Linked DNA regions of Xenopus tropicalis. The protein of the gene in region 1 interacts with the protein of each later gene in a biochemical or structural test. Links are inferred from orthologs where the notes say so. Each region holds a gene or a part of one and is shown on either strand. Other genes may lie near its edges. The genes, in order: grm7 and pick1.

The links.
Region 2: the proteins of grm7 (region 1) and pick1 form a complex in vitro, tested with the Homo sapiens proteins (2 studies listed by BioGRID, with this or other methods). The link is inferred for Xenopus tropicalis from reciprocal best matches to the Homo sapiens genes GRM7 and PICK1.

Annotation. Positions count from the first base shown.
Region 1 is NC_030680.2:130,721,810-130,725,635, reverse strand, and holds part of grm7 (metabotropic glutamate receptor 7 precursor), read right to left. Parts: intron 3,783-3,826; coding exon 2,850-3,782; intron 1-2,849. UniProt on the Homo sapiens protein: G-protein coupled receptor activated by glutamate that regulates axon outgrowth through the MAPK-cAMP-PKA signaling pathway during neuronal development.
Region 2 is NC_030680.2:128,860,019-128,864,594, forward strand, and holds the start of pick1 (PRKCA-binding protein), read left to right. Parts: upstream 1-1,740; 5' UTR 1,741-1,825; exon of another isoform or gene 1,826-1,933; intron 1,934-3,807; 5' UTR 3,808-3,910; intron 3,911-4,233; 5' UTR 4,234-4,316; coding exon of another isoform or gene 4,317-4,335; coding exon 4,336-4,357; intron 4,358-4,576. Other genes in the region: brk1 (protein BRICK1), read right to left, coding at 1,170-1,287. UniProt on the Homo sapiens protein: Probable adapter protein that bind to and organize the subcellular localization of a variety of membrane proteins containing some PDZ recognition sequence.

The DNA.
Region 1 (3,826 bases):
TTGGAAGAAACTAATAGAGAGGAAGACGGGTTCTTTCTTTCCAGAAAAGGTGGCCACCATATTAAAGCCCACTATGTTTAAGTCTTCAAATCACTTGGCATCAGTTAGGACCCCCAATGAGCATACAGTCCTAGGCCCTCCAGCAATAAATCCTCTGATTCCTATTTCCACTGCTGATTCTAAATCTCCAGCTATTATGTACAAAGTTCTGGGCACCCATGCTCCAACTTTTGGGTTAATATGGCACAAGGCTGCTGGCCACATTTCCATTTAGTATAACTTTAGGAGGAACAACAAACAACTAAAATGCATTTCAAGGCATGGTCCTCACTTTTATTAAAGACAACAATGACTATAAATCAAGGTTATGGGTTTGATGATGATAAACTGTTGTTCCACATTGGCACTATGTTGTGCAGCTTTTTCTAAGGTTTAACTTCAAATCTCCAACCATAACAATGTCTGTGGGTTGGATTAAAATAGCATTACTGATTCCAAAAATAGCCTCTACCCATAATCCGCCAACATCTTCCTGTCTCTTAGAGATCAATGTTCTAGACCACGCCGGAGCTGTGCAAAGCCAATTACATACAATTTCCCCTCGTGCCCAGTTTTCAGCCTGCGTCTCTCGTCCACTAATTTCGCCAATGTTCATTTTGTCTAAAGCAGATGCCAAGATTATTTCTCCTCATCAAAATGATTTAGCTGCAAAAAGTCTGTTCCATTTCTCTGACAGCGTGGCCCCATTCATCATGCTGACAGGATACAATTGAAACAGATGCAACAATGAGACTAATAGCTCAACTGATTCTTATTGATCTGGTGCCATTTTGTCTAATTAATAGTCTACTGACTATCTGCTAAGAACTGTTCTATAGTGCGATACATGCAAGTGGATGTTTTCTTTATCTATCAAGCCTTTCGGTGGCATGTTCAAAGACAGCTTTGGTGCATAATTTATAGCTACAAAGAAGGCTGATTAATTAATGGAGGAGTAGGTGGGTGATAGCATGAAGCTGCCTGCCAGGGAATTCTGGTAGACAAATAGCTGTTTGCACAATACACTCCATATTTTGAAAAGCCGTTAGCCACATAAATCACATTCGGACATGGGAGGTCTGCAGTGTCCCGTTATATCTACATTTCAATATATTAGTTATAAATGTATTAGAAAGAGAAGTCATTCTGTCAACCAATCAGATATCTCCATTGAGCGCAACTCTATTTTCTTGCCACTCCAGGTACCTAATGTAGTTGGAGATATGAACAATTCATGTGCTGCCTTTTATAGACTCAAGCGGTTTGTGCTCTCAGCATCACAATGTGCTAACTCCTTCTCCTGCCACCGCCATTAACATCAGTGTCAGTAAAATGAATAGGAGATAAGAAACAGATCATGCAGATTTCTCACATTCTGATTCAGGTGCAAATGGACCGAGGACTGAATTACTGGCACTCCATGTGGCCATAATAGAACTTCGCAGTGGTAAACGGCTTGATGTTGCATTTCTGAAAATACTTTGCACATAATAGGAGCATTCTCCCAACGCTCTGTAAAACCCTGTACTGAAGATCTGGGCTTTGCCATCAGGATTATTATGTATTAATGCAACTCACACGTTTTGAAGAAGACATTGGGGGCCATGTTTATAAAAGAATGGATTTTATTTTATGCCAAAACGAGCATATCATTTGGTGTAAAATAAAATCCCTATTTATAAATTTGTGAGAGGGCTAATGCCAAATATCACCCCAATTTGTGTGTGCATAATTAATAAGGAATATGGCATTTGGGACCTAACATTTGATCAAATGAATGTTTTCCTCCAACTGAAAGCTGGCATTGGAGAATACCACTGTGTGCCGTAGGCCTACGCCAGAGTGACATAAAAACACATACCAAAACGCTACACTTCAAAGGTCCCAGCAAAGACTATGGAAGTGTTTAGGTAGGACCTGGTGCAAGCCTAGTAAGCCTGAATACTAGTTAGCATTGCCAGTTTCTAGGCAGCTTTACTAGACTGGCAGGGGTTTCTATATGAGGTCTTATTTGCAGCCAGTTTGCACGTGGCAATGTATAAGAATGGCAAAATTGTCATGATATTGGTCTCTTAAAAGGCAATGTGCCTTTTCCCAGAATTCCTGCACACCCCACTAGCTGTAAGCTATGCTTTAATACTGGTTTAAAATTTACACCCCAGTGTAAGGGAAGCATTTACTAAGTTCGATTTATTTTTTCACAATTCGTATTTTTTATTTTTGCGCAAAGTACGGTTTTGTTGCAGAAAAAGCAGTTTTTATCTCCATTTATTATGCAACAAAACTTGCAACAAATCTGAAAGATAAAATACGCCATCTAAAAGCTGTCGAGATCATGTAGAAGTCAATGGCAGGTGTCCTTTTTACAAATGGAAGATCTTTGCTTCGTGGTTTTAGAGGTTTTTGACATTTGTGCAACAATACGAAAAAGTTTTTTCCAATTTTTTTCCATTCAGATTTTTTAATAGATGAATAGACATTTGTGGCTATTGTGGAAACGAGTTTAGTGTTTTCAAAACTCTAAAACCATGAGAATCCAAATGTTGATAAACACCCCGTTAATGTTGTGCACCTATGAATAGGCCTCAATATAGACATCTTTGGCAATTTCTTAAAAGTGATCTTTACCAAAAACGTCCTCAGACTGTATTGCACTGGTTCAGGGATCTTTCAATTTCTTTCAGTATGTACAAATGTTACATGGAAATCCCCTTCAAAATGACCTACGTACCAAAAGGCTGTTTAGAGTAACCAGCCCAGACCATGACTGTAGATGAGAATATGAAGCATATACAGACACGTTTACTTACCTTTTCTGCTGACTGTGAAGTTCCAAAAAATATTGGGATGAAAGCCAGCCAAACTATACAGGTAGTATACATAGTAAAGCCTATCGGCTTGGCTTCATTGAAGTTCTCTGGTACGCCCCTTGTTTTGATGGCATACACAGTGCATGTCACCATAAGGAGGATGCTGTATCCCAAGGAGCATATGATTTGTAGATCTGTAATGTCACATTTCAGGACCCCTCTTGCCTGCTCCGGGGTCACTGTGTGCTGCCCATAGTCAATGATGATACTGGGAGGGGTAACTCCAAACCAAATAAGGACTCCTAACAGCTGGACAGATATTAAACTGGAAGTGATGGCCAGCTGCGAAGTGGGGCTGATAAGCCGTGGGGCTGTCACTGACTTTTTACCCTGTTCGAAAATCCTGTAGATCCTGTTGGTTTTGGTTAAAAGAGCTGCATAGCTGATGCACATGCCCAACCCCAAGAAGATGCGTCTGAAGGAACACACAGCCACATCAGGCTTGGCAATCATGAGGAAGGTGATTATATAGCAAAGGAAGATTCCTGTTAGCAGGACATAGCTTAGCTCTCTGCCTGAAGCTCTAACAATGGGGGTGTCGTTGTACCGTATAAAAGTTGCCATAACAAAGATGGTAGCAATGATTCCAAGCATAGCTAAGAACACAGGAATTACAGCCCAGGGGGAGTGCCACTCCAGCTTGATAATGGGGATGGAGTCACAACCAGTACGGTTTTTGTTGGGTCGCATATTGTAGTCACAGAGGTTACAGGTGAATTCATCCCGCAAGTACTTATAACCATCACACAACTCACAGTTCCAACAACAAGGCATGCCTTTAACCATCTTCTTCCTCTCACCCATCATACATGGCAAGCTGCAGACTGAGGGTGGGATCTCTCTTGGTCCTTTAGCCCACTGCATGTCTTCGATCTATGACAGAAAAATGTATACATAAAGACATAAATATTAGGGAT
Region 2 (4,576 bases), about 1.9 Mb from region 1:
TTACAGTCAAAAGTATGTTCAGCACAAGACCTATATATTATCCAATGTTTAAAAAGAAGGCATACGGTCCCTTTAACCATGGCACTATGCTTCACACATGAGGCAGATGTGGCACAATAAGGCAAAGGCACCCAGCAACAAAGTGTCCCTAATTTGCAAATACTGCCAACCAGGATGTACTCTGTGGTTCAACCATGCAGATTCATGTACTGCTTAGAAAAGGTGGCCAATAGGGATGCACCAAATCCATTATTTTGGGGATTTGGCAGAACCCCAAATCCTTCGTGAACAATTTGGCTGAATACCGAACTGACAATTGGACAATTGAGGGTTAAAAAAAAAAAAATCACCTGATTTTAAGAATTAGGTTTGGCGAGAGGCATAGATTTGTGTGAGAATCTTGGCAGAATCCTGGATTCAGTGCATCCCAGTGACCCAATTACTAGTGGATGTGAGGAAAGAAGCATTAGAGGCAGGTCCATTAGCCACCATCACCATGATCACTGCATCATTCCTACAGCCTGTGCGGGCCCTCCATCCCCTGCTCACTGTAATGTACCTGCTTTCACTCACACAGTGTAACATGCTGCTTTCATTCTCCCCCTCTCCCTGCTCATAGACATATGGGGCTTATTTATTACAGAGTGAAAGCCAACATCACTAGGGATGTTGCCCATAGCAACTAATCAGCAATTAGATTTGAACAGTTAGAGAACAAAAGCAAAGATCTGACGGTTACTATGGGCAATATCCCCAATAAGGTTACTAATTACACCCCCAGTGTAAATGCTGCTTTCACTCTTACACTTCACTCTATATATAGTGTAATTACCCACTGCAATGTACATGCTGGGATCTATATAGTACAGTGTATAAATTGCTTTTGTTTGACACAAGTAATGGAGTAGCAAGCCATGGTTATATAGTGTAGGCACCATGGCCATTGGTAAGATAATAACAAGGCGACACTGTCACACTGGAGGCTGTACAGCTACTGGGATGCACAAGGCCCAGAGGATTCTGGGAGCTGCAGTTAACAGGGCAGGATGGAGAGGCTGGCATCCTATACACAGGCGCTGCCCATCGCCCAGGCATACAGTGCCCAGCCCTGCCGGCCCTACGCCCTAGGAAGGATCCCCTGCAGGACACAGCGCCGCCCCCACTCTCACCAAATGAGTTCAAGAAGTCGGCGATTTTCTTGATGCTGCTGGTGATCACCTCGATGTACTCCCGGTTGGCCCAATCCTGGTGAATCTCTCTCTGCACAGGATCCTCCTGACTGGCCATTTTAGCCTCTCTCCCTATCTATAGCACAGCCAAGGGAAAAATACAGCGTCACCTACTGCGCATGTCAGAACGGAAGCGCCCCCAGCCTTCACCAGTGGCCGCCATCTTTAAAGTGGACTCAAATGAATAATGCAAGCATCAAGAACATAAGTGAGACGTGAACAACCGGAAGTTACGGCTTATAAAGGTTCAAATAACAAATGTCACTATATTTGAGTGTTGTTCAAACCTGTGCTTTCCACCCCGAGTGGTTTTTACAAGCCGATACAAATATGTCTGCCGCTGCGTCGGTAGGCTCTTCTGCGCCTGCGTATCGGCCGAAGCGGAACTGACGTGCGGAATGATGACGGGCGTATGAAACAGGTAAGGGCTGGTGCAGGTGCAGGGGGTTATAAGCACAGGTATTATGGCGATTGGGTAGCTGCTGGATTGTGTAAATCCCCCGGGAACATGGGATTAGGCGTTTCGGCTGTCCGATAGTCGTGCGGGAATCCATTGACTCTGAAGCTCTCTGCAACACTCATGACGTAGCCTGGAGGTAGCGGTGATGTAATATGGCAGCTTTCTCTAGAGACCTTTATTCCCTGAAATCAAACACTGCATGCTGGGAGAGCGGATACTATCTTACAGGAATAGATAATAAAGGGTAACTAAAATTGCCTGTAATTAGGATGGCAGAGCAAATATGTTCATTGTTGGAGAGATACTACTTGAATGCACTGTATGATTAAGCACAACCATAAGCTGTTATTAGTTATAGGCTTCTTTCCTGTACTGTTTGCCTCATTATGGACTATGGATACTGAAGTTTATAGCTACCTGCTAGCTGCTAGCTGCCCCTTTACTAGTATGGGGGAAAACTGGCCAAAGGGCATTAACTCATAGCAGCCGGTTATTCGGTTTTATTTTAATAACTACATTAAACCAGTCAAAGCTAATGTTTTGTGTTTGAATGAAAAGAAATATTGGTGCAACAACATGGTACAGGTATGGGGCCCGTTATCCAGAATGCTCGGAACCTTGGGTTTTCTGGATAAGGGGTCTTTCTGTAATTTGGATCTCCACAACTTAAGTCTACTAAAAGATTATTTAACCATTAAATAAACCCAATAGGGCTGTTCTGCCCCCAATAAGGGGTAATTATATCTTAGTTGGGATCAAATACAGGTACTGTTTTATTATTACAGAGAAAAGGGAATCATTTAACCATGAAATAAACCCAATAGGGCTGTTCTGCCCCCAATAAGGGGTAATTATATCTTAGTTGGGATCAAGTACAGGTACTGTTTTATTATTACAGAGAAAAAGGAAATACATTTTTAAAAATTAGAATTATTTGCTTATAATGGAGTCTATGTGAGCTGGCCTTTCCATAATTCGAATGTGTTGGTAATGTGTTTCTGGATAACCGATTCCATACCTGTACTGATATTGTTTTACATTAATGTTTAATTAAATTATCCTTATACAGGTATTGGACCCCTTATCCGGAAACCCATTATCCAGAAAGTTACGAATTACGGAAAGGCCATCTTCCATAGACTCCCATAGACTCAATTTTAATCAAATAATGCACATTTTAAAAACTGATTTCCTTTTTCTCTGTAATAATAAAACAGTACCTGTACTTGATCCCAACTAAGATATAATTAATCCTTATTGGGGGCAGAACAGCCCTATTGGGTTTATTTAATGGTTAAATGATTCCCTTTTCTCTGTAATAATAAAACAGTACCTGTACTTGATCCCAACTAAGATATAATTACCCCTTATTGGGGGCAGAACAGCCCTATTGGGTTTATTTAATGGTTAAATGATTCCCTTTTCTCTGTAATAATAAAACAGTACCTGTACTTGATCCCAACTAAGATATAATTACCCCTTATTGGGGGCAGAACAGCCCTATTGGGTTTATTTAATGGTTAAATGATTCCCTTTTCTCTGTAATAATAAAACAGTACCTGTACTTGATCCCAACTAAGATATAATTACCCCTTATTGGGGCAGAACAGCCCTATTGGGTTTATTTAATGGTTAAATGATTCCCTTTTCTCTGTAATAATAAAACAGTACCTGTACTTGATCCCAACTAAGATATAATTACCCCTTATTGGAGCCAAAACAATCCTATTGGGTTTAATTACTAATTACTGTTTAAATAATGTTTTAGCAGACTTAGGTAGGAGATCCGAATTACGGAAAGACCCCAGGTCCCAAGCATTCTGGATAATGGGTCCTATACCTGTACCTGATTGTGTGTTGTGTGATTTAACCATTTATGCAAATAGCAGAGCAGCAGCAGTAGTGATTTTTTTTTTTTTTTTCATTTTTATAGTCAGCCACGTTCACCTACATGAATAGCCGATAGCAAATATGTGCCCAGATGGTTGGACTGGGCCCATATGTGACATCACAGTTATTTATTGTAAATATCCTTTAAATTGCCTTATGAATGCTGTTGGTGATTGTGCCTTCTTGGACATTTAGCTTACTATTCTCTTTTCTTCTCTTTTTATGCAGACCAGATTACCTTGTGCTGGAACTACCAGAATGAAAGTTACACACATGATTCTGACTTGGAGTTAGCCACCCAGCAGCGTGCACAAAACACAAAAACTGCTGTGTGAGTTGGTTGCAATTCAGTCATTAATTTAGAGTTCAATTAAATTATACTGTCATATGGAATATTACCTTAACTCATTTTATACCAGTTCAAACATTTGACTTTCTTCAAATAAATAAATAAAAAAATATATGTATAGTTGGTTATAATAATAATTATTACCTATAATTAAGGGAGGAGCCATAATGATTACTGTCTGTTTCTCCTGTAATGTTATAGTGTCGGACTAGGACTATATCCTGAAGTAGTAATTTTAGGGGCATAAGCAATAAAGCAAATGTTATTGAACTGCTAACATATTTCTCTGTTTTTTTTCACCTCAGTTCAGTGTTTGACAGGAGAGGAGGGAATACGAAAAGGGGAATCCAAAGATTCAGCAGAGAGTTTGTAAGCAGCAATATCTAAGATGTTTTCTGATCTGGATTATGACTTTGAAGAGGACAAACTGTGAGTGGACTTGTTAATATACCCTTACCGTATGTGTGTGACCAGGTATCCTATCATAAGAGAGACACTTGTATGTTGTGTTCAGCCTCTCATAAGGAAGTAATACATGTTGTGTGCAGCCCAAGGAGTCACTTGTATGTTTGGTGCAGACTACAAAACGGCTCCCTTTTTTAGGTTTTACAGGACATACATAAGACTCCCATATGATATATAGACTGC